Astyanax mexicanus: one gene and its partners. The protein of the gene in region 1 interacts with the protein of each later gene in a biochemical or structural test. Links are inferred from orthologs where the notes say so. Each region holds a gene or a part of one and is shown in the gene's direction. Other genes may lie near its edges.

What was found.
Region 2: the proteins of spi1b (region 1) and irf1b form a complex in vitro, tested with the Homo sapiens proteins (2 studies listed by BioGRID). The link is inferred for Astyanax mexicanus from reciprocal best matches to the Homo sapiens genes SPI1 and IRF1.
Region 3: the proteins of spi1b (region 1) and irf8 form a complex in vitro, tested with the Homo sapiens proteins (3 studies listed by BioGRID). The link is inferred for Astyanax mexicanus from reciprocal best matches to the Homo sapiens genes SPI1 and IRF8.

The regions. Positions count from the first base shown.
Region 1 is NC_064430.1:7,875,592-7,886,246, reverse strand, and holds the start of spi1b (transcription factor PU.1b), read left to right. Parts: upstream 1-5,690; 5' UTR 5,691-6,093; coding exon 6,094-6,135; intron 6,136-7,319; coding exon 7,320-7,394; intron 7,395-7,529; coding exon 7,530-7,617; intron 7,618-10,655. UniProt on the Homo sapiens protein: Pioneer transcription factor, which controls hematopoietic cell fate by decompacting stem cell heterochromatin and allowing other transcription factors to enter otherwise inaccessible genomic sites.
Region 2 is NC_064424.1:38,522,667-38,533,549, forward strand, and holds irf1b (interferon regulatory factor 1b), read left to right. Parts: upstream 1-6,128; 5' UTR 6,129-6,255; intron 6,256-6,767; 5' UTR 6,768-6,772; coding exon 6,773-6,859; intron 6,860-6,982; coding exon 6,983-7,082; intron 7,083-7,184; coding exon 7,185-7,396; intron 7,397-7,522; coding exon 7,523-7,643; intron 7,644-7,754; coding exon 7,755-7,871; intron 7,872-8,003; coding exon 8,004-8,032; intron 8,033-8,185; coding exon 8,186-8,318; intron 8,319-8,487; coding exon 8,488-8,621; 3' UTR 8,622-9,233; downstream 9,234-10,883. UniProt on the Homo sapiens protein: Transcriptional regulator which displays a remarkable functional diversity in the regulation of cellular responses.
Region 3 is NC_064416.1:12,909,623-12,919,758, forward strand, and holds the start of irf8 (interferon regulatory factor 8), read left to right. Parts: upstream 1-5,695; 5' UTR 5,696-5,873; intron 5,874-5,984; coding exon 5,985-6,152; intron 6,153-7,381; coding exon 7,382-7,565; intron 7,566-7,735; coding exon 7,736-7,839; intron 7,840-8,471; coding exon 8,472-8,580; intron 8,581-10,136. UniProt on the Homo sapiens protein: Transcription factor that specifically binds to the upstream regulatory region of type I interferon (IFN) and IFN-inducible MHC class I genes (the interferon consensus sequence (ICS)). Can both act as a transcriptional activator or repressor.

The DNA.
Region 1 (10,655 bases):
TTTTAACTTTGTTCCAAGGGCAAGGTTTTCATTCGAAAACAAGGAGTAGGGCCAAGGGGTGACACTGACGATATGCTTCCTAAGTATCTTTACCACAGCTATTTGATTACATCAGTTGAGGTAGCTACTGTGAGGAACTGTAATAATGCTTTATAAAGGATACCTGCAGATGGATTTTTTGCTTTAAACTGATATGAAGTAAACATGCTGAGGCAGTTTTCCAGACAGGGATTAAACCTAGTCCTAGACCTTCAGTCAGGCCTGAACAGAATCAGAATCACCTCCTCTTAAAATGTAATTAATTACATGTGCTGTGAATACTTAATGTAAGTTACATGCATTCATCACTTGCTATGAAAGAAACCACAATAGTCTGCAACATTTTCTATGGGCTACATTTTAATATAAGAAGACTAAAGTACTCTTTTTGACAGAATCTACTAGTTATTTCTACTGTAAAGTTGCTATTTTTGAGATACAAGGTTTTTTGTCTGAGACTGGCGATATGCTTCCTAAGTATTTTTTACCTCAGCCATTTGATTAAATCAGTTGAAAGAGTTTGATGTGTGATTTTAATGTTAATTATACATTTATACATGGAATGTACAGTATAAAAAAATATTTTTTGACCATTATTAAAGTATTATGTTCTTCGTTTCAGACCATTTTTCAGGTTTTCCAGAGTTAAATTACCTAAGAGGATAAGATGATGAGCTACTATGAAGTAGTGTAGCAATGCTTTATAAAGGATCATTTATAAAACAATTCATTAGTGCTGCCAAGCTTTCCAAAAATTCCTAGAAGTCATACATGCCTTCAGATGAATTTTTGCTTTAAACTGATGTGAAGTAAACTAGTCCTAGACCTTCAGTCATGCCTGAACAGAATCCTCCTCTGTACTATATACCAGTGCTTTTCATTGTGACTTCCAGCATAAAGAAGGCTATTTCTACTGTAAAGTTGCCGTTTTTGAGTTAAATTAAAATGTAATTAATTACATGTGCTGTGAATACTTAATGTACGTTACATGCATTCATCACTTACTATGAAAGAAACCACAATAGTCTGCAACATTTTCTATGGGCTACATTTTAATATAAGAAGGCTAAAGGACATTTGGGGGCTTGGCAGTTATTAATGCTTTCAGATGAATTTCTGCTTTAAACTGATATGGAGAAAACAATATACTGGGGCATTTTCAATACATTTAAATGCAGTTCAGTTTGTACAGTATGCTGCACAATGTGATTCTTGCTATACAGGACCTTGTATCTCAATTTTTGCCAATTTTCTCTTTTTGACAGAATCTACTAGAGAATCTACTGTAAAGTTGCTATTTTTGAGATACAAGGTTTTTTGTCTGAGACTGGCGATATGCTTCCTAAGTATTTTTTACCTCAGCCATTTGATTAAATCAGTTGAAAGACTTTGATGTTTGATAACCTATTAATTATACATTTATACATGGAATGTACAGTATAAAAAAAAACTCATTTTTGACCATTATTAAAGTATTATGTTCTTTGGTTCAGAGCATTTTTTAGATTTTTTATATTTTAGAGTTTTATTCACCTAAGAGGATGATCAGCTACTATAAAGTAGTGTAGTAATGCTTTATAAAGGATCATTTATAAAACAATTAATTAGTGCTGCCAAGCTTTCCAAAAATTCCTAAGTGATACATGCCTTCAGATGATTTTTTGCTTTAAACTGATATGAAGTAAACCTGCTAAGCAGTTTTCCAGACAGGGATTAAACCTAGTCCTAGACCTTCAGTCAGGCCTGAAGAGAATCCTCCTCTATACTATTTTAGCCAGAATTATTTGCATTAAATGCATTTTATCATGTATCTCCATTTTTGCCTTTTCCCCCTTTTTGACAGAATCTACCAATTCTTTTCATTGTGATTTTCAGTGTAAAAAAAAGGCTATTTCTACTGTAAAGTTGCCATTTTTGAGATACAAGGTTTTTGTCTGACACCGACGACATTCTTCCTAAGTATCTTTACCACAGCCGTTTGATTAAATCAGCCAGAGTTACATATAGACCTGCTATCTACTGTCACTTCTTGTCTTGGTGAAACTGCTCCAGAAGATTATAACTGATACGAGACAGTCTCACCAACTACCTTATCTCTCAGATAACTCATCGTCTGCAGCCAAGAGAGAGAGAGCTCTGAGTTCACTAACTACAGTTTAACTCAAAACAAAGAGTTTAAAATGAATTCTACAAGTGCATTTTGGAAATGAAAATAAGTGCATGAAATGGAGCTTTATTTTTTAATGCAATTAATGCAATATTTAATATATTTGGTATATTTTTGCCATTTCTTTTTTTTGTTTAACAATAATATATTATTACAATAACTTTGTTGCTGTCATACAAAACATTTTATAAACTCAAAAAGAAAAATTATTCAGTGTACAATGACTTAATTCATTTTATTCTTGTTCAAGCAGTTTTATAGGTCAATTCAACAGGAAATTTGGACGTAATCTAAAAAAACTGGCTCAAACTATCTTATATATATATATAATTTGAGAAATAAATTAAATGTACTTATTCACATAAATAAGTGCACTTTAAAATAGTATTTAACCCTCCTGCTATCCTCAAATTTACAAACACCATTTATTATCTGGTCAATATGATCCCAGCAATTTAAACCTTCAGAAAAATATCATAATTACAGATCATTAAACATGTTAGCAAAGTTTACTCATCAGTTACTTTATGTTTATTTTTAAAAATATAATCTGTTCTGGCATTATTGTGTTTTATTAGTATTATGTAAGTATTATAAGTAATGTTTTGTTAAATCAGGGCCTAAAGTAAAGGGGCATTTAGAAAAAGATTCTAAAATGGAATGTCATAGTGATCTTAACATTATTACCACACAAAAATGTGTCAAATATTTCTTAGATATTTCTTATGTTTTATGTCAATAAAACAGCCTTAATAAAAAATACATTAAAGTTGAAACATTTGAAACATTTTGTTTTTCGTTAATTGTCTTCATTAAATTAAGAAAAGACAATGAATATAAATGACAAAACTAATGTCAACCTTTTTTTTAGAGACTTTAAACACTAAATGGGGTCAAATTTACCCCACAGATAATAGGAGGGTTAATGCCACTACATATATTTTCTATCAACACAACATATAATTTAAAGCCTACTGCTTAAAAATACTTTTTATGGAAATACAGAAAAAGTTTAATTTAATTTGTATTTTCATAAAATATATTAAATATATAAATTTACTTTTAGTATTCTTTACCTAATTTGATCATACTTTCGGTGTTCTTAACTATATACTTCCTTTTCACCCGGGAAATTGATCAGTATTCAATCTGAATGAACACAGTCTTACATATATAGTAGGTATGTAATGTTTGCCATCATTTTGAAGCACTTTTTTGTACAGCATTGTATAGAGTTTCTTTTAAACTTGGGGGCGGGTGGGCTTTTTTGCCATGTCTACAGATACTTTTAACAGGTTAAATAAGGTTTAAAAGGTAAAATTTCAGTCACAGATTAGACACACCTTCAATACAGTGTTTTTTCATTATTCTAAACTTTGAATCTGCATTGTAGATCAATACTACAGTCATCCAAACTATGAAAGAATATATGTGGAATTATTCAGTTAGCAAGAAAGTGTTCAAACAAACCAGAATATGTTTTATATTTTAGATTCTTCAAAGTATTCCTCTTGCTTAGATAGAGACAGTTTTACACATATCTGCTGGATTTTCTCAGTCAGCTTTATGAGGTAGAGTTACCTGGAATTCAGGCTTTCAGTTAACAGCTGTGCTGAACTCGTCAAGAGTTAATTACTTGAATTTCTTGTCTCTTAATTTGTTTGAGAGCATCAGTTGTAAACAGGTATACAGTAAATAGTGAATATTTAAGTAATATTTTTATTTTATCTTATCCATACTTAGCGTAAAGAGGTAAAGCTAAGGTATTTAAGAAAATCTAAATGTATTTTTTTAAATCTAAACAAGCTCACTATAATCAATTCAGGTCAACCTTGTTTTCATCAAACGTCAGTTTTCACTAAAATTGCCCACCCTGTTGTGCAGATTGCTATGACACACATTTTATTAAATATATAAGAAGGATATATTTGGATGAGCTTAGTTTTTTTTTTACCTTTCAGGCAAAATCTTCCAGATTTGTTTCACATACGTTTAAATAGCTCAATAGGAAACAATTCACTTCTTTAAATCTTTAAACAACTTCCTCATATTATAATTTTTTTTCTGCCACACTTAATTAAAAGAGTTACAATAAAACAACACATATGTACACAGTACATACCTTCTCATTTACTATTTTTTTTTTTTACATTTTTTAAATAATGTATATATTTATATACATATATAAACTATAAAGAAATGCATATGTACTTATAAAAAAACAAAAAGTTAAACAAGCCAAAATATGTTTATACTTTAGATTCTTTAGCACCTTCTTTAAAAGTAGCACCTTTTGCTCAAAGGCCAGTTTTGCACATCCTGTCTGATTATCTCAGTCAGTAATTAAGTCATTAAGTAAAACCTGGAATGGTTCTACAACTGTCTCAAAGGAGTTTTAGAAATGCTGAGCTCTAACTCATCCCAAAAATCCTGAGTTAGGTTTTTATGCCGGGTGTATGTGAAGTAACTAACTGCATATGTGTACCTTCATAGTTTTTAAATCTTTAATATTAATACCAATGTAGTATATATATATATATATTTATCCCTTTCAGACTCTGCATACATCACAATGGACATCATGTATTTTCTTTATTTTTAAATATTTTGTTGCCCATAACACTATTAGCATTATTTGAGAGCTGTTGTCCATTAGAATAAACCACTTAAGACCCTTTGTCCTCTTTTGAGGACACTACATTTCTGCATTTCTGTATCATTATTCTACATTTGTTAAAACGTCAACCCTTTGTCCTTATATGGAGACACTGCCTGTACCATCTGGTGGTCGCATGCAACAGTACTCTCGATTGATTAAAAATAAGATACTGGGTTTTTGTACTAATTGGGGTCTTCTCATCCCAAATTGCAAGGATCATTTTTAAATGTTAAAATAAACTATTCTCTACCTACTAGGGCAATGTGATTTGCAAAAAAAATGACTTTCTGTACAAAACAAAGTTTCGTTTTTATACTTGTTCGGTCCTACTGATTCCACATAGATATAATACATAAAAAAATGCACACCAAGCAAACGTTCGGTCTTTTTTTATAGGAAGTTATAAATAATATATAATATTAAAAATTATAATAACATTGTTTGTATAAAACGTAAACTGTAAACTATACTGCAGACACAGGGAAGATATATTGATATATACTGAAATTGACCCTTAAATCCACTTCTTTAAATCTACTTCTTTAAATCCATTTAAATCCATTTTAAACCATTAAAACAGCCCAACATTGGAGAATGTTGGGGTATATTGGTCCGTTTAGGGACGGCCAGCAAAACGGGCCAATTAGACGACCCCCAAAGTCTTCTAAAGTGGCACCAATTATTCCTTCATCCTACGTTAAAGCTCGCCGAATGGCAGGCAGCATGGAGGTGGACAGGAAGAAGCGTGTTGGCTGAGCTGCCTCTTGATTGGCTATTGGGGGAGGTGACACACTGCGTCTGTTCGAACTGAGTAGTTATAATCCCCACCTGACATCACCCTAAAATCAGGAACCAGCAGCAGGCTCTCTCTCACACACACTCACACACACACACACACACATACCCAAAAATAAAGAAGTAACAAACAGAAAGCCCTGTCCTTTTTGGTCACGCTTGCTGTTAGGCTAACTTGCTACTTGCTCTGACTGTATCTTTAGCCGCTTTCTGTTGATTTCAAGGGCCCTGGAAAGCAGCAGTGTGGCCCCCACTGGATAAGGTGTTTGCGGGTGTGTGTGTGTGCGAGTGTGCATGCGAGCGGCGTCCGAGATCTTTGGTTTCATTTGGTAAGAGGAAATTTAGTTGTGCAATGGCTCGGGGACAGTTTTGAAAGCCATTGAGAGGGTTAGCGCGAAGAGCTAGAGCTAGAGCGAAGCCGAGAAGACCCCATATGTTGCCTTCGTACAGAATGGAGGGGTACATCATCCCACCTGTGAGTATTCCCCATCTTTCCTAAGAGTGTGTGAGCGCGTGGTGAAGTGTGTGTGTGTGTGATGTTGCGTTGTGTTGAGTTATCGCAGTAGAAATTTGAAATTGATGAGATTGGGTTTTGAACTAGCTATAGTCAAAGTGATGACAGGGTTTAGCCGTTCCTAACAGTGGCCTTAAGCCTGTGTAGCCATTTTAATGCTAAATAATTACAGTTTAAAAATGCAATATATATGTGTATGTATATGTGTATTGTACTTGTACTTGCAGTTGTGCAGTGTATAGTTTTGTTGCTAATCTTTGCCATTTAAACAACAGTAACTTTTCAAGTTTTTTTTTGCATTTGATTCATTTCCACATATATGTCAAAAAATATAAAATTTCTTCTGATCTATTCTGATCTTATCCATATATGTATATGTATATGTGTATTGTACTTGTACTTGCAGTTGTGAAGTATATAGTTTGCTTGCTAATCTTTTCCATTTAAACAACAGTAACTTTTCAACTTTTTGCATTTGATTAATTTCCACATATATGTCAAAAAATATACAATTTCTTCTGATCTATTCTGATCTCATCCACTGTAGATGACTTGATGTGATCAATCTCTTGTCGTGTATATATGTATATGTTGTTAAATGAAATCAAATTTCAACCTTAAAATGTCTTAAAAATCTAATGTTATTAACATTATCGAGCAACCAATGTCAATCAATCATTCGTAACAAATTCAACTAATATATCAACTAACATATTACAGCCAATCATTTATCCAATCTTTTCTACTAAAAAAAACTTTTTTTTTTTAAAGGTGCTACAAAGGGCTTAATAAGCAATGCCACAAAAGAACCACTTTAGTTTACATTGAGAAATAATAATAATAATAATAATAACAATAATAATAATAATAATAAAAAAGGATAGTTCGTAAAAAATGGATGTGGGCTTTAAATATAAAAAAAAATATTTTTAAAAAATCATAAAAAAGAACATGTTCACACTCTTGTAAAGATTTCTTATAACAAAAACTGACTTTCTGAAGACAAAAGTGGTTCTTTTATTTATGGCATCCCTCAAGAAACCATTTGTGGCACCCTTACATATATAATTTTTTAAGGATGTAAAAATAAAGAACTGTTCACAGAAATTACTGAATTACTGAACTATAATTTCTGTGTGTAATAGAAAATAACCCGGACTGGCTGGATGTCACAGACACCTTCTGAATTTAAAGATTACTGGGCCCTTGTAAACAAAGATGTGAGGCTCGTGTTTCTCATCCTGCTCATAAATATATACTGCATTCATATTTCTGCATTGAAACTTTGGGGCTTTGCTTTGGTGTTTTGCGTTCTGAGTGGTCAAAAACGATCTTTTCCCACTTTCACCCTGCAGCCGACGGAAGAGCTGATCTATGAGACGGACATCTATCGACCGCCGATGGAGTATCCGTACATAATCGATGGAGAGAGTGGCCAAAGTGGTAAGAAGCTGCTTTTTTTTTATTATTTTAGCTTTATATTAGCTCTGTTTTTTACTGCACTTGTGGGTCAACTCCCAATGTAATTTTATATATGTACAGTACTGTGTAAAAGTACACTAATTGAGTGTTTTTGCCTGAAAAAAGCACTATATGTGATTTAAACAGATGCAAATAAACATAATACATTAAAAAGTAACAGGAATTTCTCATTTTTACCTAAGTAGGTTATATCCTGTGAGCCAAGCTTTAGAACAAAGTTTAGTTCCACATTTCTCCTGGATTCCCTCAGACAAGCCAGCATATGATATGTTCAGTTCCGTCAGCAGCTCACCTGATTTAACATCAGTAAGATGTTAAAGATTTGATTTACCAAACCAGGTGTTGATATGATGAGAACTAGAAATAACTCTATTAAACTCAGATGAGGAGAGATTAGGAGATGTTTTAAGGAAAACAGTGCTGTAAAAACTCTGCTTTTTGTAAATTAGCTGTTTGTATCTATTGTATCTATATGACCAATCAGAGGAGACGATGTGCTTGCATGGTATATCTGTGCAGAGTGAAGCTGCTTTAATACAGAATGCTAAAAAGGTGCTGCTGCGCTTTTAAACACTGAACGCTGCACATGCCGTGCTCTTAGTGTGTAAACAGCATGGAGCAGCAGAGACAGCATTTGTTCATAGCTGTATATTACCTGATCAGATAATATATAATATATAATATATAACATATCAGATTAAACTGCGCCTAATCATTAGTTTAGCTCAATTAATAAAGAAAAAAGAATATTTAATTGCTGGGTCAGATCAAGACCGGATCACGTTCTTGCCACAAGCAAAACGCTCCAGAAAAAAAAAAAATGCATATTGAGTGGAGGCGGAGCAGATTATGGCAGATTATGACTGCTAGTGTTTTACTGCTAGTGTTTACTGTTAGTGTTTTACTTAGTGTTTTACTGCTAGTGTTTACTGTTAGTGTTTTACTTAGTGTTTTACTGCTAGTGTTTACTGTTAGTGTTTTACTGCTAGTGTTTTACTGCTAGTGTTTACTGTTAGTGTTTTACTTAGTGTTTTACTGCTAGTGTTTACTGTTAGTGTTTTACTGCTAGTGTTTACTGTTAGTGTTTTACTGCTAGTGTTTTACTGCTAGTGTTTTACTGCTAGTGTTTACTGTTAGTGTTTTACTGCTAGTGTTTTACTGCTAGTGTTTACTGTTAGTGTTTTACTGCTAGTGTTTTACTGCTAGTGTTTACTGCTAGTGTTTACTGCTAGTGTTTTACTGCTAGTGTTTACTGCTATTGTTTTACTGCTATTGTTTTACTGCAAGTGTTTTACTGCTAGTGTTTACTGCTATTGTTTTACTGCTAGTGTTTACTGATATTGTTTTACTGCTATTGTTTTACTGCTAGTGTTTACTGCTATTGTTTTACTGCTATTGTTTTACTGCTAGTGTTTACTGTTAGTGTTTTACTTAGTGTTTTACTGCTAGTGTTTACTGTTAGTGTTTTACTTAGTGTTTTCTGCTAGTGTTTTCTGCTAGTGTTTTACTGCCTTTGTTTTACTGCTATTGTTTTACTGCTATTGTTTTACTGCTAGTGTTTTACTTAGTGTTTTTCTGCTTGTGTTTTACTGCTATTGTTTAACTGCCAGTGTTTTACTGCTAGTGTTTACTGTTAGTGTTTTACTGCTATTGTTTTACTACTATTGTTTTACTTAGTGTTTTACTGCTATTGTTTTACTACTATTGTTTTACTTAGTGTTTTACTGCTATTGTTTTACTTAGTGTTTTACTGCTTGTGTTTTACTGCTATTGTTTAACTGCCAGTGTTTTACTGCTATTGTTTTACTACTATTGTTTTACTTAGTGTTTTACTGCTATTGTTTTACTTAGTGTTTTACTGCTATTGTTTTACTGCTATTGTTTTACTGCTAGTGTTTTACTGCTAGTGTTTTACTGCTAGTGTTTTACTGAGCTAATAAACACTTACTGCCCAGATAAGAAGCTTTTAAGCTTTTTCTTTACTTAAAATTTGCACAGTACTGTATGTTATATGTATATAATAAAGTAATGTATAGGTAAGTATATATATTTAAAATTAGCTTTCAAGCCTTTTGTTTTCAAAATGCCTCCATCCATTATTATTTTTTTTTTTTACACACACAATAAATAAGAGCCTCTCCAAAATAGCTTAGCATTCTGACACCCTCGGAGGCCCATTTTAACACATTTTTGGTAGAATGAACTAACGGTTCGAAATCACACCCAGGGCAGCTGGGAATAAACCTAGCATGGGGGTGTTAGGAGAGCTAGCGAGTGGAACCAGACAAGTGACCCGACACCAAGCAGGAAACAGATGCCTCTTTTTGACAGGCAAGAAAACTACAGACGTAGAACGGCAAATATCCCCAAGGGCCTGCAGCCTACAAACTCTATCTAGGCCACCAAAAAATATCAAACAGAGCTAATTCTGAAAAATAGAAAGCAGCGCCATGTAGAGAAACAGAAAGAGAGGGACAGAAAAGGTTGTGTATTACCAGCGAGGCCAGCTGGTAGTGCCGTACACAGCACACAGGTCATATGATTGGACTTGTGTGAGTGTGTGTAGTGCTGCTGTCTCATTTCTGGAATTGCAATACCACAGTTTTTTTCAGGCCTTCGCCTTTGTAGTGTAGTGTAAGTTTGTGTAGAGTTTGTGTTCCGAAAGCCGCACGAATTTCTGTAGCCTGACGTTAGAAAAGAAAAGTGAAAACAAAGGGATGCCGCTCGACACTTACTTTCAGAAAGGCTGAGAAATGCTATTTGCAGCGAGGCATAAATATATATATATACATTTCAGGGAGGCAGCACTAAACCACCCCCCCCCCCCCCCAGATTGCAAGCACATGTTTAAATATTTAGTAATTTAGCAGCCTTCCTTTTTAAATATTATATTATATTATATTTAGAGATTTCAATTGATTAAAACATATAACATATAATCTGTGATTAACTGCAAGTAATCTCACTTGTTCTTCTTATGATGCTATAAGTTTTTACTA
Region 2 (10,883 bases), on another chromosome or scaffold:
CCTAGACACAAAGCTTTCATGGGTTGCCAGATTGAGGACAAAGTGACAAGCAATGACAAGTATGAATTCGAGCACTAAAATGTTGAAATAAATAAAAAGGCCTACACTACACTAGTGGTTGTAATAAATTACCTAGTTGTGGCTCTGTCTTCCGGGTTTATCTGAGCTCTAAACTCCATCTCCATCACTCAATCTCCATTCCTACTCCATCATCATATTTACTTGCATTTTATGCAGCTTTACAGGCTGTGTTCAACTTCTGCTAAAACAGTTTGTTATGCTTTCATCCATGATTGCAGCACACTATTTTTCTATCTATAAATGGCAAACCAGGGAGGGTGTGGAAATGGACTAAGGGAATAGTGGTGGGCATGTTTGGAGACAAAAACCAACAAAGCCCATGACAAGCAATTAGAGCTAAATTTAGGTCCAAAAAAATCCAGCCTGACTTTAATCGAACCTATGAACTTTCTGTCCGGTCCCGTCCTACAAACTGTCATTATGAGGACAAGCCCGATTTAAATCCCACTTTTTTGTAAGTAGAGTGTTAAAACCAGAGACTGTAAAAAAAGATGGACGCCGTGTCACCGTTCTACGGAGCCCGGGAGGGGCCGTGGATAAAAAAAACAATTAAATCGAGTGAACGATGTAGCAGTTCGTGCTCACGTTTTCTTTAATTCGAGTGAACGATTTGCAATTCGTGCTCACGATTTCTTTAATTCGTGCTCACGATTTCTGTAATTCGTGCGCACGATTTCTGTAATTCGAGTGAACGATTTCTGTAATTCGTGCTCACGTTTTTATGCGCAATAAGACAAGAAGCTCGGAGGGAAAGGAGCATTTTCTCTCTTGATCTGTTACAGGGGTGCAGTAATGATAATCAGTTATCTACCTTTATAACCTGCTGTTATTAATGCACTAGTGTTACAGTTAGATGTACAGTACAGTGAGCAGATTTTGCCTGGTGGTGGAATCTCTACAGCGCGTGGGGGAGAGCCGTCCGCGGCATCGGTTCCCCCGCCGCCAGACACCTGCCGCGCGCGCAGGTCTTCACGGAGCTTATTTACCAACAATGTAGACAAATACAGTCAATTCCAGTCATGATAAAAGGAAACAAACATTACTAATGCAGGATAACTGTGTGTTATTAAAACCAGATCAAAACAAAGTTATAATGCAATGTGGAACTGTTTATAATTTCTTATTTTCAACAATAGTATAACGTAAAGAAGTATAATTATATAAATATACAGCTATAAGACTTAGGTCCAAATGTACACTGTAAAAGTTAATAAAGATAATACAAAATTAATGCAAGGTGTGACAGTTGTCTATGAATGGCTCATATAAGAGCTGCTTTAAATATGTAACACTATATAAAATCAAAATAGCTGGTCTAAAATACTATTAATACAATGTATTAAGATATTTAGTAAATAGGCATTTCATATAATAATTTGGATCAATTTGATAATTTATTTCAATATGTTTCCTAAAATAATTAAGTTTCTATATCTGATGAAATGTCCTGAATATCTGCTTATTCTCAAATCACAGTGTCCTGCCCAGAAACATGCCACAAGCTTCAAATAAAAAAAATATAATAATTATAAACTTCTTAAATGTATATTTTCTGAATTATGTGTTTATTTATTATACAAATTATTAAAATATAGATTAAATCTATCATAAAAGTAATAATGATGTAACCAGATTTAAGAAGGTGTGCATTTCCTTGGAGGCTGGCTGAATGTTATTTAGAAATTAATAAACACATTTGCACATTGCATTATAACTTTGTTTTGATCTGGTTTTAATAACACACAGTTGTCCTGCATCAGTAAAATGTTTGTTTCCTTTATTCATGACTGGAATTGACTGTATTTGTCTACATTGTTGGTAAATAAGCTCCGTGAAGACCTGCGCGCGCGGCAGGTGTCTGGCGGCGGGGGAACCGATGCCGCGGACGGCTCTCCCCCACGCGCTGTAGAGATTCCACCACCAGGCAAAATCTGCTCACTGTACTGTACATCTAACTGTAACACTAGTGCATTAATAACAGCAGGTTATAAAGGTAGATAACTGATTATCATTACTGCACCCCTGTAACAGATCAAGAGAGAAAATGCTCCTTTCCCTCCGAGCTTCTTGTCTTATTGCGCATAAAAACGTGAGCACGAATTACAGAAATCGTTCACTCGAATTACAGAAATCGTGCGCACGAATTACAGAAATCGTGAGCACGAATTAAAGAAATCGTGAGCACGAATTGCAAATCGTTCACTCGAATTAAAGAAAACGTGAGCACGAACTGCTACATCGTTCACTCGATTTTATTATTTTTTTTATCCACGGCCCCTCCCGGGCTCCGTACCGTTCTCATTCATTCAATGAAAATGAAGCCAAAATCTTCAGCCATGTTTGCGATCCTGAAACCCGATCCTGAAACCCGAGTCTGCGCAGTAGAGACCAGAGTAGGGAGAAAGACTGTGGAGAGCTCCTACTCATTTGAATAACCCCACCCTGGTCACAGGTTATTGGTCCCACCCATAACCAGGCCTTTTACAATAACCACACCTTTTTGAATAGAGCTAACGTTTTAAAAAACGAATTCTGTGGGGATAAAAAAATTGACAATATAAGCAGAGGTTACACTAGCTGTTGCATTTAAATAATGGAGGTATAATTACAATATATTAGAAAAAAAACGTGATTGAAAGTTGTCTGTTTTTCCATTGAAACCTATGGGAATGGGTGGAGTTACACAGCTTTCTGAAACCGAACAGCAGGGGGCGCCCGACCTGTGGTGGCTTCACTTTTGAGAGATGATGCTCTGTCCAGCTATACACAGTCTATGGTTAAAACTGACAGGGCCAAAGGAAAGTGGTGGGGAAAAATGGGGGCTTGGGCAGAGAATCTAAAGTCTACAAGAGATGAGCCTGTGAGTGGAGTGGGGGTGTGGGAGAAGAGCCTGTGAGCGCAGGGGAGGGGGGTGTGGGGAAGGAGCCTGTGAGCGGACTGAGGGTGTAGGGAAGGAGCCTGTGAGCGGAGTGGAAGTTTAGGGGAAGGAGCCTGTGACCGGAGTAAGGGTTGTGGGGGAGGAGCCTGTGAGCAAGGTGGGGGTGTGGGGGAGGGGCCTGTGAGCGGAGTGGGGATGAGGGGGAGGAGCCTGTGAGTGGAGTGAAAGTTTGGAGGAAGGAGCCTGTGACCGGAGTGGGGGTGTGGAGGAGGAGCCTGTGAGCAAGGTGGGGGTGTGGTGGAGGAGTCTGTGAGCGGACTGGGGGTGTGGGGGAGGGGCCTGTGAGCGGATTGGGGATGTGGGGGGGGAGCCTGTGAGTGGAGTGCAGGTTTGCCGGTTTGGAGGAAGGAGCCTATGAGCAAAGTGGGGATGTGGGGGAGGAGCCTGTGAGCAGGGTGGGGGTGTGGGGGAGGAGTCTGTGTGCGGACTGGGGGTATGGGGGAGGGGCCTGTGAGCGGAGTGGGGGTGGTGGGAGGTATTTGTTAGGGGACGGACCGGCTGATGACGCAACTCCCGCGGCTTTATGCTCAATCCAATAGCGCGAGGCTGTGGAAGCAGATGGCAGGCTGCAGATTTGGAGCACGTGCTCATACACAAGCCGCTTGTGGCCAAAGCTGCCCCTCCCTTTATACAGGGGGATACATATGAGTGTGAGTGCTTTGAGTTTGTGTATGTGCGCCTGTCTGTCTATCTGTGTGTGTTTGTGTGTCAGGCAGTCTTTCAAACCTTATCTAGATCTAATAGATGTCTTTTAAAACTACACATTGTAATTTTAAAGTATAAATTAGGTATACAATAAGTTATATACGAAAACGCGAAATTAAATAACTTATTTTTACCATTATGAATATATGAATATGAATATATGAATAAATATCGACAATACTGTATATTACACAACAATATATTGATAATTAAATAGTTTGCCTTACTGTCGTGTAAGCACCGTGCTTATCAATATCTTTACAATTAATGGATCAATCAAAATGCTCCAAATTTACTCCAACTGAATATTATTTTCGAGGTTTTTGAATAACTGATGAATTTCTGACTCATATTGTTAAATGTACTTTATTCCTATAGCAGCATTGTACATTGATTATTATAAAATACATTAAAACAGCGTGAAGGAAGAGAAGCAGCTACTGTTCTTGTGTGCCAGGTAACTCTACCTCATGAAGACACTGAGATTAAAATACCAAGAATGTGCGGATCTGTCCTCAAAGACAAATGTGCCACTTAGAAGAATCTAACGTATAAAACATATTCTGTTTTAACGATTTTTTTTTTACTAAATAATTCCATATGTGTTCCTTTATAGCTAATGTCGTAAATATTAAAATAACATTGTATAAGAAAACACATTGAATGAGAAGAGGCGTATCCAAACTTTTGGTACTGGTACTTAGTATTGTATATTTTGATTTATAGCTAAAATATGTGTTTCGTATTTGAAAATGGACAATTACATTACATCGGCATGTGTCACATTTTAAAATATATTAAATAAAATATATGACATAAGTATATTGCACATAAGGGAATTCTATATATTCAACTTTTAATATTTAAAAAAATCTGACTTTTTATCAGCAGTGTCAGTGGGTTCCATTGTTTATTTTGTTAATATACGTTTTTAGAAACTCCGCGACATGTAATGACAAAGTACAACATGGTCTTAATATCCGCTGAGCTGGTCTGTAGTTTGGAGTGGGATTTCGTGGGGAATATCGCTGGCTGCGCTCTGGGAAAACCCAGTGCTTTACAGAACAGAAATCCCACAGGAAAGCCCCGCCCCTCCCTCAGCCCTGACCACGCCCCACCGCCCGGGGCTACTGTCTCACACACACACACACACACACACACACACACACACACACACACACACACACACACACACACACACAGATTCACTGACACCCCCGTGATAAATCGACTTTACCATGGGGTTTTAATATTCATTTTAAAATTTATTTCGAACAGCGTCTGTTTGCTGTGCTGAACTGGAGAATGCTAATTCTAAGCTTTTTTTTTTACTATTTTTGAGGAGATTTACACAGTACATCATTTATATAATATATTTTTGAAATAATAATAATAACAACAACAACAACAACAACAATAATAATAATAATAATAATAATAATAATAATAATAATAATAATGAAAGGTATATGCGTGTGTAAGCTGTAGAAAGTGTGTAGGGTTGGGGTCAGGCTGCGTTCTCTAAATGCCGGTCGTCCAAACATCCGTTTCTAATAAACAGGCCGCTTTACTGTAAAAACTCCCCTCAGATCAGTGAAGCAGCGCAGATGCGCCCTCTATCGGCTCTGTAAAAATCTGCACCATTTCCCGGAAAGCCGCTGCTTTCTTTATCTGACCTGATTCTACCCTTCTCTACAGACAGCATACACACTTCATTCAACACTTCAGCACTAATATCAATTAGATCAAAATGAGATTAGTATTTATGCGAAATTAGATACTTTTATGAATTATATGTTAATTGCTTGCTGCCAAAATAATATTCATATATGGAACGCATATATACATAAAATATGAATCACACATAATAAACATATAAATAAGCATCAGTTATGTTGCATATAAGTTACATGTAAATAAAGCAGGGCTTTTCATGTGACATAATGTGAAGTTGCAGTTGTTCTTTAAAGTTCTTTACAAATTTTATGCTGAAATGGACTGAAAAAAATATATGTATAGTTTTAAACTGAATTTATTAAAAATGTTTTTTTTTGCATCTCCTGTAAAGTTGCAGTTTTGGGAGATTTTTTTTTTACGCGAAAGAGACAAAAAAGACGGGTGTTTATATGGGCTAAAATTTTCAGAAATATGCGCGTGCATGTGCTGTTTACGTGCCGGCGCGTGCGCTTGTGTGGTGGTAAGGGTAAGATGCAGCCAAGCCCAAACATCATCACCCCCTAAACTTCTCGAGCTGTGTAGCTTTTAACAGCGTGATTTCTCGGAAATCATGCTGCTTCAGTCTGAGAGCGCCTGCATGGTAGTGGAACTGCGCATGCGCGCCGCGCTGCCAAAACATTACGTTGGGAAAGCCCCCCCCCCCCCCTCTCTACTGTGTATAAAAGAAGAGCGCACCGCGAGCTCCCAGCAAAGCACTCCTATCTCCACTGAGAGAAGAAGTTCAGGCTGAACTCGGATTATCAACACATTATCACTCAACATTCTTCTCCGTTATAAATCGGATTAAATACGAGGTGAGTCTGAATGTTTTTTTATTTTTAAATGGCTGTTTTTATTGTTTTATTTTAGAAAAGTGTTTTATAGCTAATATAGATCTCTTACACACACACACACACACACACACACGTACATATATACAGCTTGCCCTTGTGCTGCTGCAGCTGCTCTGTATCTGTAGCAGGCTCGATTTCACTATACTGTACATGCTACCCCGGAAAAGGGGCGTGTGCGTGCAGGAGTACACTCACTCTCACAGCGTAGGCTGTTTGGAACTTGAGGCTGCACAGTTTGTGACTGTGTGTTTTTAACGGAATCCCATAGTAAAGTACTAGCTGTTTGCATTGAGTTATTACCAATATACATTAGTAATTTAATATCTTAAGGATAGAAATATTTACAGAGACTGTGTTTCCCTGTTCCCTGATTATTACTGCCATTGTTACTGCCAGATCTGCTGTGCATGATAAGCTAAGCATGCAAGGCATTGTAAAAAGTTGAACTCAAGTTCCTGTCTGGACTTTTGCAGGAATCATGCCCGTGTCCAGAATGCGCATGCGACCCTGGCTGGAGGATAAGATTGACTCCAACACCATCGCTGGACTCGTTTGGGTGGACAAGGTAGAATATTTAGGAGATTTCAAGTGCTTTTGTTGATATTTAAGACTAGTCACTGCCTAAACCCTCGTGAGCTTAGTATCATGTACAGTATTCCTCTCATGGCATTGTTTTTGTTTTCTTCAGGATCAGAAAATGTTCTCCATTCCTTGGAAGCACGCTGCCCGTCACGGCTGGGAAGTGGACAAAGACGCTTGTTTGTTCAAACAGTGGGCCATTCACACAGGTGAGGTGCCACTGCTGGCAAGAATATAATAGCTATAAAAGGACCTTGAACCTTGTTGGCAAGATCTTTATTTGTTAACCTGAATATGTTCCTCGCCTGCAGGCAAGTTTAAGGAGGGGGTGACCGAACCCGATCCCAAAACCTGGAAAGCCAATTTCCGTTGTGCCATGAACTCCCTGCCAGACATCGAGGAGGTGAAAGACAAAAGCATCAACAAAGGTTGCGAGGCTGTCCGGGTTTACCGCATGCTGCACGTTATGAAGAACAAAGGCAAGCGGTTGTCAGGAACCCTGGATGGCAGGAGGAGGAGAAAGGTGAGGCGTTGGCGCCATGGTGGCAAGGTGCAGTAATGGCACCAGGCTAACAAACAATAACAAAGCAATTAAAGCAAGCACTGGGGCAGTAAAATTTAAACTCACATGCACTATTTACCTCCTCAGGCACCGAAAGTGAAGCAGGAGACAATGAACATAGATGAATCATCGACAGGAGAGACAACTTACAGCAAGCAGGAGGACACCATCACTCAGGAGAACACCATCGACAGCACTGAGAATCTAAGTAAGCTCCTCAGAGGCAAACCCTCTTTAATTTGTAATATCTACGGCTATATTAAATGTCTTCTATGATAGATGAGAGCCCCCTATTAAATGTGGACATTCTTCTCTTAAGGCACCGCTCCCTCCAGTTTTGAGGTGCCGGACTGCTCCGGCTATGAAGTGGAAATTGGCCCTGACAGCACAAACGACTACACCAGCAGGTTTCAAGTTTCACCAGTTCACTCAACAGGTAACATAAGTATTTATATTATTTCTTATGTATATAAAAATAAAAAACATTTAATTGTTTTTACAGTCCTATCAAATGATGACTGGTCATATTCTCATATTTATTCCATGTGTTTTTTTTTGCCATTCACAGACTACGAGGAAAACCAAGCTATTGTTGAGGTGAGTCTGGCTTTGGTTCTATGTCAAATTCGTCTGTCCATTGTGCTTTTTCATTGTCAGGAATACCCTTGTTTTGTAATTCATCCAAAGGCCTGTTTCCAGGCATTTGTAAAATTGGCGAGCGCTTACAAATTTTCTGTTTTGCTCCTGCAGATTACACGGCAATTGGAACTTGATAGCACGCAGTGGCTACAAAGCAATAGCAGTGGAAAGGGGTTCCTGTGCAATGAAGTAGGCATGGCAGAATCTTTCCACAGTCCAGAGAGCCAGTGGAGTGATAATTCAGGTAAATAAGGCATTATGTGTTGTCTACCAGCACACGTTCAGATAAGATTTTTGGTGATTTAATGAAAGTAACTCACTAGGAGGCCTTAGTCTAATGAGATCAGATAGATCACCACATTGTGTTTGAATGAGCTTCCAAGACTAATGTGAAACATCTTGTATTCCTGCAGGTGAGGAGATAGAGCTGCGATTTTACACAGAACTGAGCTCAGGCTTTCCCAGTGATGACATGCTAAGCTACACAGAACTGTGGAACAGCAACCAGCACACCAACAGCTTCCCACAGATCAGTTGTCCTCTCTGAGAGACACTGACAGAAACTCTGTGTGAACTTTCTGCATCTGACCTCACATTCTCCACCTGGAGACATTTTTCTATCCTCAACCATGAACTTAAATCACCCAAAGCCTTTCTCAAAAGAGCCCGTATCCTAAAACCTGCAGGACGGCAACAGACCCATCATCTCGCACGTCTGATGTTTTCCTTGAAAGAGACTCTTACTTCAGTTACGCTAGGATGGACTTCACTGAGGTTACTCACAGTTGTACTGTAGCTCATTGTCACAAAACAACCCAACACTTTTTAGTAGCTGTAAAGATGTAAACAGAATCCCACATACAAAATGTAAAAATCAGTGCTAGTTTTCAGTGCTTTTGCTGTGTTGTTGTAGTAGCTACTATTCCTTACTTGGCTTTCAAGATTTGTAGCTTGTACATACATATCCAAATTTAATCTCATTTAATGTGACATTTGACAGGTTCCGTTATTTACACATTCAGGGTTAAGAGCATATTTGTTTTTATGCAAACTTTACAAGATAATAGACTACAATAAGCTCTTGTGTTTTGGGTGAAAGGTCTTTAAACCATATGTGTATATAGTGTATATATTTTTTAATAAAAACATGAAAAATAAACTTTCTTGTGATTTCTCATGCTTGCACACAGTTACATTAGTGCCAATCTTAAAGCTTTACATGTAACAGAAATCTATTGGCATGAAGTATAGCATAACGTTTGTTCAATTTGAGATGTTTTGTTATATTAACACATGTATGTATGTATTTTTTAAAATATGGCTGAAATATGCTTGCCCTAATTTGAAGCTAGACAATTGATCGTTGACATATCTGTTATTTATGTTAATATGTGACAATATGTATTAGCTATAATGGAATTTAATCAGTGGCATGCAGTTAATATAGTGGGTACCCCTTCTGCAACACGTCCCCCGTCCAATCATGAATCTGATTGGTTGAATTGTCCTGCAACTTTCCTAATATACTCATTACTACACTCTTCAAAAAATCAGCAGAAGGGTGATGCAGACATGTGGGGGCAGAAGCCATCTTAAAAAGCAGTTTTGATTGGTTAGAACTGCTGTCAGTCAGATAAGAGTCCTGTAGCAACTGAAAAAACGCAGACTAATGCTAGGAATTAGTTGCTGTTTTTTATTTTAATTAATCATAAAATATATGCTTATAGTTTACAATAACTATAATATATATTTCCTGATGAAATATTATGTAGTGATTTACATGCACCTATTGTCACCCCTTCTCTGAAGGATTAGAAGGGCCTTACTGCACACCACTGAATTTAATACATTCTTATGTTTTTTTAAACCTACACATATATACCATATATCAGAGTACTGTAGGTATATGTGTATGCTAAATGCATTGTTTTTTAAGATGCCTAAATTTGCATAAAATGCTATTAATATTATGCATTTTTACCCCACTCTAATCTTAGGATGTAAAAATGTTAACTGTTGCAAAGGATGTAAAATGTTAATGATTAGTTGTTTTCAGATTGTGAAAAGTGGTGGTACATAAAGCATACCAAGGTGTATCCCAGATTACATTAGAACATTTGCTGATGAAATTATTCATGATAGAAATCCATGAAGTTTTCCATTTTTACAACATTAGATTTGTTTGCTTTAAGAACATAGTACATATATCAGTCTATACTTTTTTACAAACACATTTATTCATAACTACAGCCTTGTAATTGTCCCCTGTGGAATTCAACAAGGTATGATTAACCATATAATAGAATAATAGCTGAATAATTCATCTAGGATTTAATGGGATGTCATGTAGACTCTGTAGTTCACTAAACTGCAATCCTGTCATGTTCCTCTGTCTTAGGCTTTCCAGGATATCACAGAATGTTTACTGTACTCACCAACAATAATGATTATTTTACTATGCTAGCCTGCAAATGACAAAAGTGGACAAATTCCACACAAGTGGCAGAACTGCTGGCAAAATAAATGCTCCATCTAGCCTACTGTATAAGTGTGTGTGTGGCACATTCATGTTTCATTTCAATGACCTGTAGTGGTACTTGGAAGTTTTAGTTTGATAATGGATAGCCTGTGGTGTTAAAGAATTACAGTGATAATGAATTAATTAGAGTATATAAATAATAAATAAGTAGTACAGAAAAGTTAGATTCTACACACTTGAAATTGATTTTGTACAGAAGTTTTTTTTATTTGCACTGTTGATTAACACAGAGTTACATCATGTCAAATAGATAAACAAAAACTTTATACA
Region 3 (10,136 bases), on another chromosome or scaffold:
TTAAATACACTGGCCTGAAATACCATATAATTTAACCCTTGAATATAAAAGCAGAGAACATCCAAACCGTTTGCTTTAAAGTTAGTAGATCCAGGAAGACTACCTTAAAAAAGCCAATATGCAACTTTGGGTGATTAGTGACTGAATTTATAATGAGTGTTTTATTGGTTTGTTTTGGTTTTCCCTTTTTGTGCACAAGGACGAGCGATTGAGAGACTGACTTGTTGTTTTTAAAGAAGCAATGGAACCCAGCCCTGTTGTTGAACCTAAAATGGTACAAGCTCTGTTGTCAGAGTACACTGTAAATTATTCACACCTTTATAGTACAGAAATTTGTACTTCTGTTCTGTGCAAATCTTATGTTATTAAACACTATTTATGAACCGTATTCATAAAAGAAAGGTTTCTTTTACTAATCCATGCATTTACTGCTTCTGTCTCTATAGTACTGGCTACCAACTCTAAAGCATCATAGGCTTTGTTCAGACTGCTAGCCCAAATCAGATTTTTGGCATATCTAGAATGTATTCAGGCAAGTAATCAGATCTAAAACACATTTGTAGAGGGTTTGAAATGTGAAATGTGATTACAATTGAATTGGATTCGGCAAATGTTAGTTACTGACGCAACCTCTTTACCACATGAACTCATGTGCAGAATTTTGTGATGTTCAGAAAAGCAAATCCTGTCAGATCACTTGCAAATAACAGTGCAGAGAGTCATCTCAATTATCTGATTTGAGAAACAAATCTGGCTTGCTTGCTGGCTTTCAGTATCTTTGTGCTGGGATGCATTTTTTAAAGAAACCCAAATGGCTCATTATAAAAATACTGTGCCTTTTGGCCCTAGTAAGTTTCAGACTATTCATCGTATTTATATGACTATTTTCCAGATTAATCACTTCATGGTGAGCTGCCTGGCAGGGTGGACAATTGCAAAAATTGGCATTTAATGAAATGTAGGTCAACGTTGTTGACCTAAAGTTTACATGTTTTAAAGATACATTTTGATTTTCCTTTGTGATATTTTACCATGGCAAGGTGAACACCTTAAGCTTTACTCAGCTAAATAAGTAGACAATAGGATAAATAAGTGAAATTAATATTTTTAAATGTTAACATGCAGTAAGTGTCTTCAGTCCATTGGTTTTGGGAAGAAAGGTACTGGGGCTTATGCTAACAATTGTTAAGTAATTACTTAATTCATATTTAGTTATGTGTGCATTGATGCTTAGCAGTATGTCACTAAAATGAAATATTACTGTCTTAAAGGTTTTTGCATTGTCCCAGGCTGGGTGAACAGGGAATTCTCAGACACTTAATATTTTTATAAAAATACCTAAATAAATATTTTAAATGTCCAAATTATATATAAAAGCATAAATAACCAAACAATTATTTAACTTAACCAGGCAACACTGAAAAAAAAACATACACAGAAAACTGTATAAAATGTACAACAATTTCTCTATTTATATTAATGTTGTTACTTTAGAGTAGATCTTAAAAGATTTTTACACAGAATTTTGGCCCAGGTGTTCGTAAACAAGGTGCGTGACATGTTTTATTCCTCAGACACTGTCCATAGGTCTACAACAGTGGTTCTCAAACTGCTAATCAAGGCCAGTCCACATTTTTGGTCAGTCTCCACATGTTATTGGTTGGGCCTAAACAGAACCATGGAAAGAACCAGGTCTTGGGGGACCTGAAGACCAGTTTGAGAAGACCCCGCACAGCTGAAATAGAGGAGCATTCTTTGCTTTTCATCATTACAGTGGATGCCATCCCCAGCTTCCCCCAGCTCACAAAGCCTGTATAAAAAAGAACACCTCCACCTCAGTGATGAACAAAACCTCAACCTGTGCTCACATCCTGAAACGAACCAAGTACATGTGACCTCCACTTTCCAAGATCCGCTTTTCTTGGTTTCCAGATGATATTTAACTTCCTGGCTACAGGTTAGACTTCAGGTTGGCATGAAAGATTAACTGTTTCAGAACATGATCACCTACAATCACACTGTTATATTCCATTACACATTGTAGACTTGGGCCTATATCGGCACTACAGCCATTTTTTTGTTTGTTTCCAGAAAATGATTAGGCCTTTTCCTGGATTCGGCCTGTCACGATAACCAACATTTTTTGGATAATGTCCCAGAATTAAATGCAATAAACTATAGAAATTTCATCTATGACCATTTAGTGCCACAGAATTATATAACAGTATAATATCATAATAATGAATGCATTCATTTTAAAGAACAGTAAGTATATAATTTTGTTTTGAACATTATCAACAAACCAGGACATTCAGGTTAATGGTCTCTTCTCATTAAGTAACCACAAAATGGATTATATTGAGGTCAGCTAAATTCATTGAGGTTATGTGCATATATTGTATGGAAAGTCATAACATAATTATTGTGACAGGTCTATCATGGACCATGTTTTGCTTATAATAATATAAAAATATTATTTAAATCAATGAATGTAGTCCAAAACTAGGCTTAATTCCTGTCTAGAAAACCAACACTAGATGTCCAGAAGTTTTTAGACTAGGCCTAAATTACCTTTTTCTGACGATATGTTGTCCAAGAAATAATGAGATAAACAATACATTGTCATTTATGATCATTTAGTGCCAATTATATAAGGATATCATGATATAATAGGATATTATTGCATTTACACATTACTTTTAAGGGGCAGTGAACTTTATTCATCCGTTATTATACCCTAAATAAAAAACATAAAATAAAACCACTGTTTAATCTAAGTCAACAAACAATGACATTGTTTAAATGGGATCTTCTCAGTAAGTCAGCACAATAATTAATATTGATTTTAGAAAAATGTATTGTAATGTATAAAATGTAATAAAATATCTCTATATTGTTGATAGTGTAATTATTGTGAAACCAATCCTGGACAATATTAAGCTTGTAGTGGAGAATCTTCATTCAAAATAATTTATGTAGTCCTACACTAGGCTTGATTCCTGTCTGGAAAATAAACACTACATGTTTTTTTTTTTTTTTCGATAATATTATAATGTCCCAGAAATTACTGCGATAAACAATATTATTTTCATTTAAAATTCATTTACTGTCACTTAAATTCATATTATAATATAACTGCATATTAATGTATTTACACATTGCTTTTAAAAAGCAGTGAACTTTTTATTATTGAGAATATTTACATTTTGGAATTTGAATGTGAACATGCTTAAATCTCCTAAATAGGTAAAGCAAACATAAAATAAATCCACTGAGCTTTATTGAGGCCAGCAAAAACGATTGAGATCATGTCCATTTAACGTAGGATAAGGTGATAATATAATTATATTAAAACAGGCCTAACCTGAACTATTATTCACTTATTCCCCATTCAAAATGATGAATGCAGTTCGAGACATGGCTTTAAACCTGTCAGAGAAACCAATAATATCTCCATAGGTTTGTGGGCACTTGTTTCTCCTATGTTTCTTCTGTAATCAACAGTTTAAAACAAAGTTTATTCCCCTTTAAAGCAATGACAGCCTCCACACTCTGAGACGTGTGGCTGGTTTAAGTAGTGGGTAACATCACCACCTTACCTGTGGTAGACTGGGGTTCAGTTTCCTGGCTGGGAAATATCACCCCTGATGTGCACGACTCCCACACAACACTGCATTCACCAACCTGTGTAAAATGACTCACATGTATTTCACTCATTCAAATGCTGTAAATAAATGTCTTCTGGGAAGGCTTTACTGTACAAGTGAGCACATTGTTGTGATTATTTGATTGCATTCAGCCAGTCCTCATTTTAAATTCATTCACTCATACAGCCCAAATATTTAAATAAATACATACAATTAAATTAAGCCTATAGGGGCAGTTTCTTATACAGAAATGAACCTAGTCTAAGCCTAAACCTAGTAAACAGCATTTTGAATGGAGATTGGAAAGTCATATAGCTGTTGTCCAGTGATTTTTTTTTTTCTATTATAGCTGCTTGGTACACTGTGTAAATAATAATATGTAAGTATCCATAGACAGATTTAAATGCTCATATTTTAGCCTACATGGAATAGCCTCTTTTTTTACTGACGTTTATTTAAAGATGTGTGCCTTTTCATGTAAAATCACCATTTTGGAGATTTTGTGGGTGTTGTTATTGGACAGTGATGGTAATCAGGAAAAGTTTTTCCTTTATCCGCTCTAAGGAATGTGGAATAGATGCATTGTCAGTTAATAACGTGTAATATATTTTTGTGATGCAAAAATTGCTGGCCAAAACTGAAACCAAACAAAATTAAACATTGGCATTTATAGCATTTATTTTCACCATTGCATATACTGTAATCTAAAATATATATTTTTCTCATTTTTTAGATAGAAAGAAATTACAAAACTACATTTTTTCTCTTTTGTTTAAGTTAATTTGTACAAATGTACACATTTTGTATAATTTCTGGTTCCTGACTGGACCTGAAGAGCTTAAATGGCAAAAAAAATTGACCAGTAGTGTATGTTTATTAATTTCCATTCCATTCATCATGAAATGACAATATTATGTAAAGAACAACTTGCAGATTCACATTATGTATATAAAATGACATCTGGTTTAAATAATGTATCATGACATTAAACATTAGGGATGTGGCATATAGTATTATACACAATAATATGGATCATTATAGTATGAAACAATACAAAACATCTATATGACTATAAGTAATATAGATAGTATTTGTTTTTGCTATTTGCTTTGAAGTGTTGACTATATAATTTTGTTTGTTTATGTAGACTATAGACTATATAATTGTTTGTAATCATGTTACATTAAATGTTTTGTTTGTTTTCACCTCTTTTTAGTTCATATTTACAAATGTATACATTTTGTATTTTGTCTGGTTAGGCCTGTCACAATAATTACATTATCGACTTATCAAACACTAAATGCACACTACCTTAGTAATATTTGATAATTGTGATATTATCTGTTGTGTTTATTTGAATATTTGTTTACATATATATAGCAGAGAACAGTATTTTAGCTAATAATGCTGTAAAAATATCTTCAATAACTGCAACTCCATGCACACGGTGTGGACTGCAGTAGGTAAAGAAAAGAGTATAAATTTCCCAAAGTTTGATTATTTGAAATTTTGTTGTATTTAAAATGGTATAAATGCTTTGTATGAATGTCATAATATATATCGTCCACAAAAAATGCTATCATGACAGGCCTATGTCTGGTTATTGACTGGATCTGAAGAGCTTAATTGGTAAAAATAAAGTGGAAAAATGGGGGTTATCCAAAAAGTTTTACTGGCAGTGTATATTATTTATTTATGTATTTATAATTTTCATACTTCTGTTTCTATTTTATTTTTTTATTATTTCATTTTACCCTGTTTTCAGTTATCAGAGCATGTCACAGCTATTTAAGTGAAATAACCTTTATTTAATTGGATTATTTAGCTGTGAATTGATTCTGAAGGTAAAATAAAGGTGCTGTGAATATTTACAGTAAAGGTTTTTAAATGAGAGAGTAAATCAGCTGGATCCAGAGGCTGGTTAGATGAGTACATGCTGAAGGTTGTAAAGTCCCTTTTCCATGGAAGTGAAGCCCACCCCAGCCGCCTGAGAACCTCCGACTGAGGGAAAGGCGATTTCTTGTAAATGCCTCCGCTTCTAAGAAGTTTTCCGTGCTGGAGGCGTCACGTCGGTGGGCGTGTTTTGATTGGATGCGGGGGAGCGGGGGCGTGGCCACGAGCTCCATTCACACAAAATGAACAGACATACTTTCTTTCCCCCAAAATAAATCTCCTCAGATCTTCAGATCAGCAGTCAGTGCAGAGCATAGTGATCACTGAGCCGAGGTGAGTAACCCAGAGCAGAGCTGCAGAAGAGCGGAACTACAGATATTATTGAGTAGTATTGAGTATTCAGTGCGTCACTTATTGAATCCTGTGTTTTGAATGGGTTTAAAGATGAATCCAGGAGGGCGCAGACTGAAGCAGTGGCTGATCGAGCAGATCAACAGTAATATTTACTCTGGGCTTCTGTGGGAAGATGAGTATCACACCATGTTCAGAATACCGTGGAAACACGCTGGAAAGCAGGACTACAACCAAGAGGTGGATGCGTCCATTTTCAAAGTAAGCATCTCTCTTTATTAAAACAAAAATGTATTTTTCTCATTTGTGGATTTTAGATATCACTTTATTTATACTATAGAGAAATTCACACGCTGCAGCCACACAGAAAGCACAGAATATAATACAAAAATAGCTTAAAATATATAATAAAGACAAAGAAATGTCATATAAAGTTTGCAATAAATTATCCTATATAATTTTTATGCAGTATTAAATGTTTTAAATTGTGTTCAACACAATCCAAACATTGTTTTAAAGTTCAATTTAATTCCTATAGACCACTAAAAAAATAATGAGTTTACCAAATTAAAATCTCTGGAATATAATCAAGAGGAAGGTGGATGATCACAAGCCTTCAAACTAAGCTGAACTGCTTGAATTTTTGCACCAGGAGTAAAGGCATAAAGTTATCCAAAAGCAGTGTATAAGATTGGTGGAGGAGAACATGCCAAGATGCATAAAAACTTTTAAAACACAATGAATATGAACTTGTTTTCTTTGATTTATTTGAGGTATGAAAGCTCTGCATCTTATTTGTTATTTCAGCTCTGGAACCTCTCAGAATGCAGCTCATGCTGGCTGCTTAAGCACACACTACTGCCATCTGGTGGTGTTTAAGTGCACTGCAGATAGCAGACGGACTAGTTTACATATAAATAGTTCAGTGGAAGAAAAGACTGCAGCAGTAAAATCCAGTTATGAAGAAGTATTTTAACAACACCTAGGAACTGATCTCTACTAATATCTTATTTATTTATGCATTGAATCAATGTGCATATAATCCTTTATAGACCTTTCTATATATGTTAATGCATGTGTGCAGTAAGTGCACCCTCTTTTAAATAGAATTTAAATAGAATTGTAGTGTTGTGAATATGCCAACATCAGCATTTGTAGAGTGATTTAAAGTAATGCACATTATATTATTCAATTAAAGCATCAACAATCAGAGAATACACAAACAAGATTTTTTTCTGTACCTTACGAAAAAGTCAGCAGATTTGTATTGTAGTTAATATGGTTACAGAATAATCCACCCTATTGGAGATGTTAATGGACTAATTACAATAAAACTGCATAAAAAGTGTTGTAGGCCTTTTGTATGCATGTGACATTTAAACACATTGTGCTAATTACATTATTTGCAGTTAGTTTACTTTTATATAATTTATTACAACAATATCATAACTATATATATATATACATATTTAATACCTTGGTTCCTCTAGGCTTGGGCGGTGTTTAAGGGAAAATTTAAAGAGGGAGACAAAGCTGAACCGGCTACATGGAAGACCCGGCTGAGATGTGCTCTGAACAAGAGCCCCGATTTTGAGGAGGTGACAGAACGCTCACAGCTGGACATCTCAGAGCCCTACAAAGTGTACAGGATTGTCCCCGAGGAGGAGCAGAAGTGTAAGTGTGTGTTTGAGACTTTTCTTCATATTTAAGCTACAGAAAAGTTCACTGTGTTCACTCATATGAGCCTAATGCATCTTTCTAGTGGAGTAAAATTAATTAGAGCTTAGAGGCTTTTAGGTAATATCTGTTTTGACCAAAGATAACATAATTATGTCTTTCTACAGTGTGTAAAAGTGCCACCACTACCTTGAACATGAGCTGCCCACCTGAAGGGTCTGAGATGGAGTGCAGTCAAGCAAATACAGACCTAGACAGACTCATTAAAGAGGTGAGAGCTTTAGTCCAATTTCTGTAATGGAATTGGCATTAACAATACCACTATTTTAAAATAGCAGCTATACAGGAGAAGGAAAATACATGTAAAACATTTTTATGTCATGTTTTTAAACAATTTTCGAGAATTTCTATTGGTCAATTCATCATGAAATTAAAATATCATGTATAGAACAGCTTCCACATTTACAATATATATATATGAAATGGAAATACAAGGTGCATGCTCAGTCATCTGGTTTAAATACTGTATCATGACTTAATTAATTAGGGATGTACCATATACTTTTATACACAATAATATCATAATTTTTTTTATAAATATAAAAAAATATATAAGACAATAGTAATAGATTTGCAATTTGCTGTAAAGTGTTGACTATATAATTTTGTATAATTGTTTGTTTGCAGTTTATAAGCATGTTGCATTAAATGGTTTGTTTGTTACATTTGTTAACATTGGCAACAATATATTTTGTCTTATTACCAAGAGCATTATTACAGCAAAATATTCTAAAACATTGTGATATTTGTTTAGGTCCATATCACCCACCCCTAATAAATATATTACTACATTACTATATAGTTCTGCACTGAACTGAACAGCCATTCTTTTAATATGTGCAGACACCAAGCGACGAATACATGAGCATTATCAAGAGGAGCCATTCTCCAATAGATGAGAACAGCAACCTGCAGTCCCCGCAGGAGTGGTGGCACCAGGGCTCGCCCAGCGGTAAGACCATTATGCTCTGACCAAAACACCCTTACTGACATATACACTGCGTGGGAAAACGGGAACAAACTACCACAGACAGTACAGTTTAATACGAGCAATCTAACTCCCTTTTTTCCTATAATTTAAAGTGCTGCCTAAAGTTCTGATGCATTTTCTTTGTTAATGGACCTGTAAAGCCGCCGTCAGCAGGTTTCATTGTTACTCAGTTGTGTGAAAGGCATGGTACTGGTCTACTTAAATAAGAGCTAAAAAAGCTTGTGTTCAGTTTTGCATGCTAAGGGAGACAGATTGGCTAATTTCCGTTAGAACGTTGCTGACTTAGCTTCTGTCTTTGTTGGTCCCATGAGCATTGGCTAGAAGAGCTGAATAAGATTTTGCTGCATGAAATTATGTGTTAAGGGTCACATTTTTTTAAATGCGGAAAGTGGAAATCTACTTCTATGTTTCTGAGTAACCACAATAAGTCACCCAGCAAATACTTTACATTAATACTAACTAAATCCTTCAGTATCTACTCTGAATTATTCAGTAACTACTATACATTATTAGTTTTCTCCTATGTATTGATAGTAACTACTAGAAATTATGAGCAGCTACATTACATTGTACAGTATCTACTGTAAATTATTAATAGCTACGAATAATTTGTAACTGTTTATTCAGTATTATTCAGTAACTACTATATGTTTTAGTAGAAACTTTCAATTATGCAGTTTCTACTATAAATGTACTAAATATACTATTATAAATTGTAAGTACTCTAAATTAAGAGCGGGCACACTACGAGCAGGCACACTACGAGAGCAAACAGGAACTGAAGCTACACCAGACTGCGCTTTTTACTCCATTTTAACTGCAGCTACGCTGTAAGAGCAACAGCAAACGCGCTTTTCAGGGCGCTTTTTCGGACAAGGCTGAGCGATTCTCACTTGAGCGGGGCGTGGCAAACCCCCTCATTCACACATTCTCTGTCTACACACCTCAGGGGCGTTACTCACGCTTTAAAAGACAGCCTGGTGGAGCTGATTTCCTATATCGCCCGCACCTGCGCGCAAATTCAGACTCCTATATCGTCACTCACACTCGCCGAGGCGTCAGCTGTTGTGTGAAGACCCTCTCGTGTGAAGACCTAACTCGGGTAAAGACCTGCGAGTCTACCTGCGCGAGTCCACCGAGCAAGGCCACTGACAAGGCAGCCCGTCCTACTGCCTCACAAAATGTGCTCCCATCACATACCTGTCATCTCCGGTACGCACAGAAGGCGTAAAAACACACATAGGCGCCAGGACCATACTAACCTGCGTCCTCTTAAGCAAGCCACGCCCACTACTACCTCATTCTCTGTTGGGCTGTGGAACTGCCAGTCGGCGGTTAATAAAGCAGATTTCATCGCCTCTTATGCAAATCATCTCTCACTACAACTACTGGCTCTGACTGAAACCTGGATTAAACCTGAAAACACTGCTACTCCGGCGGCACTTTCAAATAATTATTCCTTTACCCATACTTCTCGTCTCTCAGGACGAGGAGGTGGAACTGTCCTATTGCTCGCG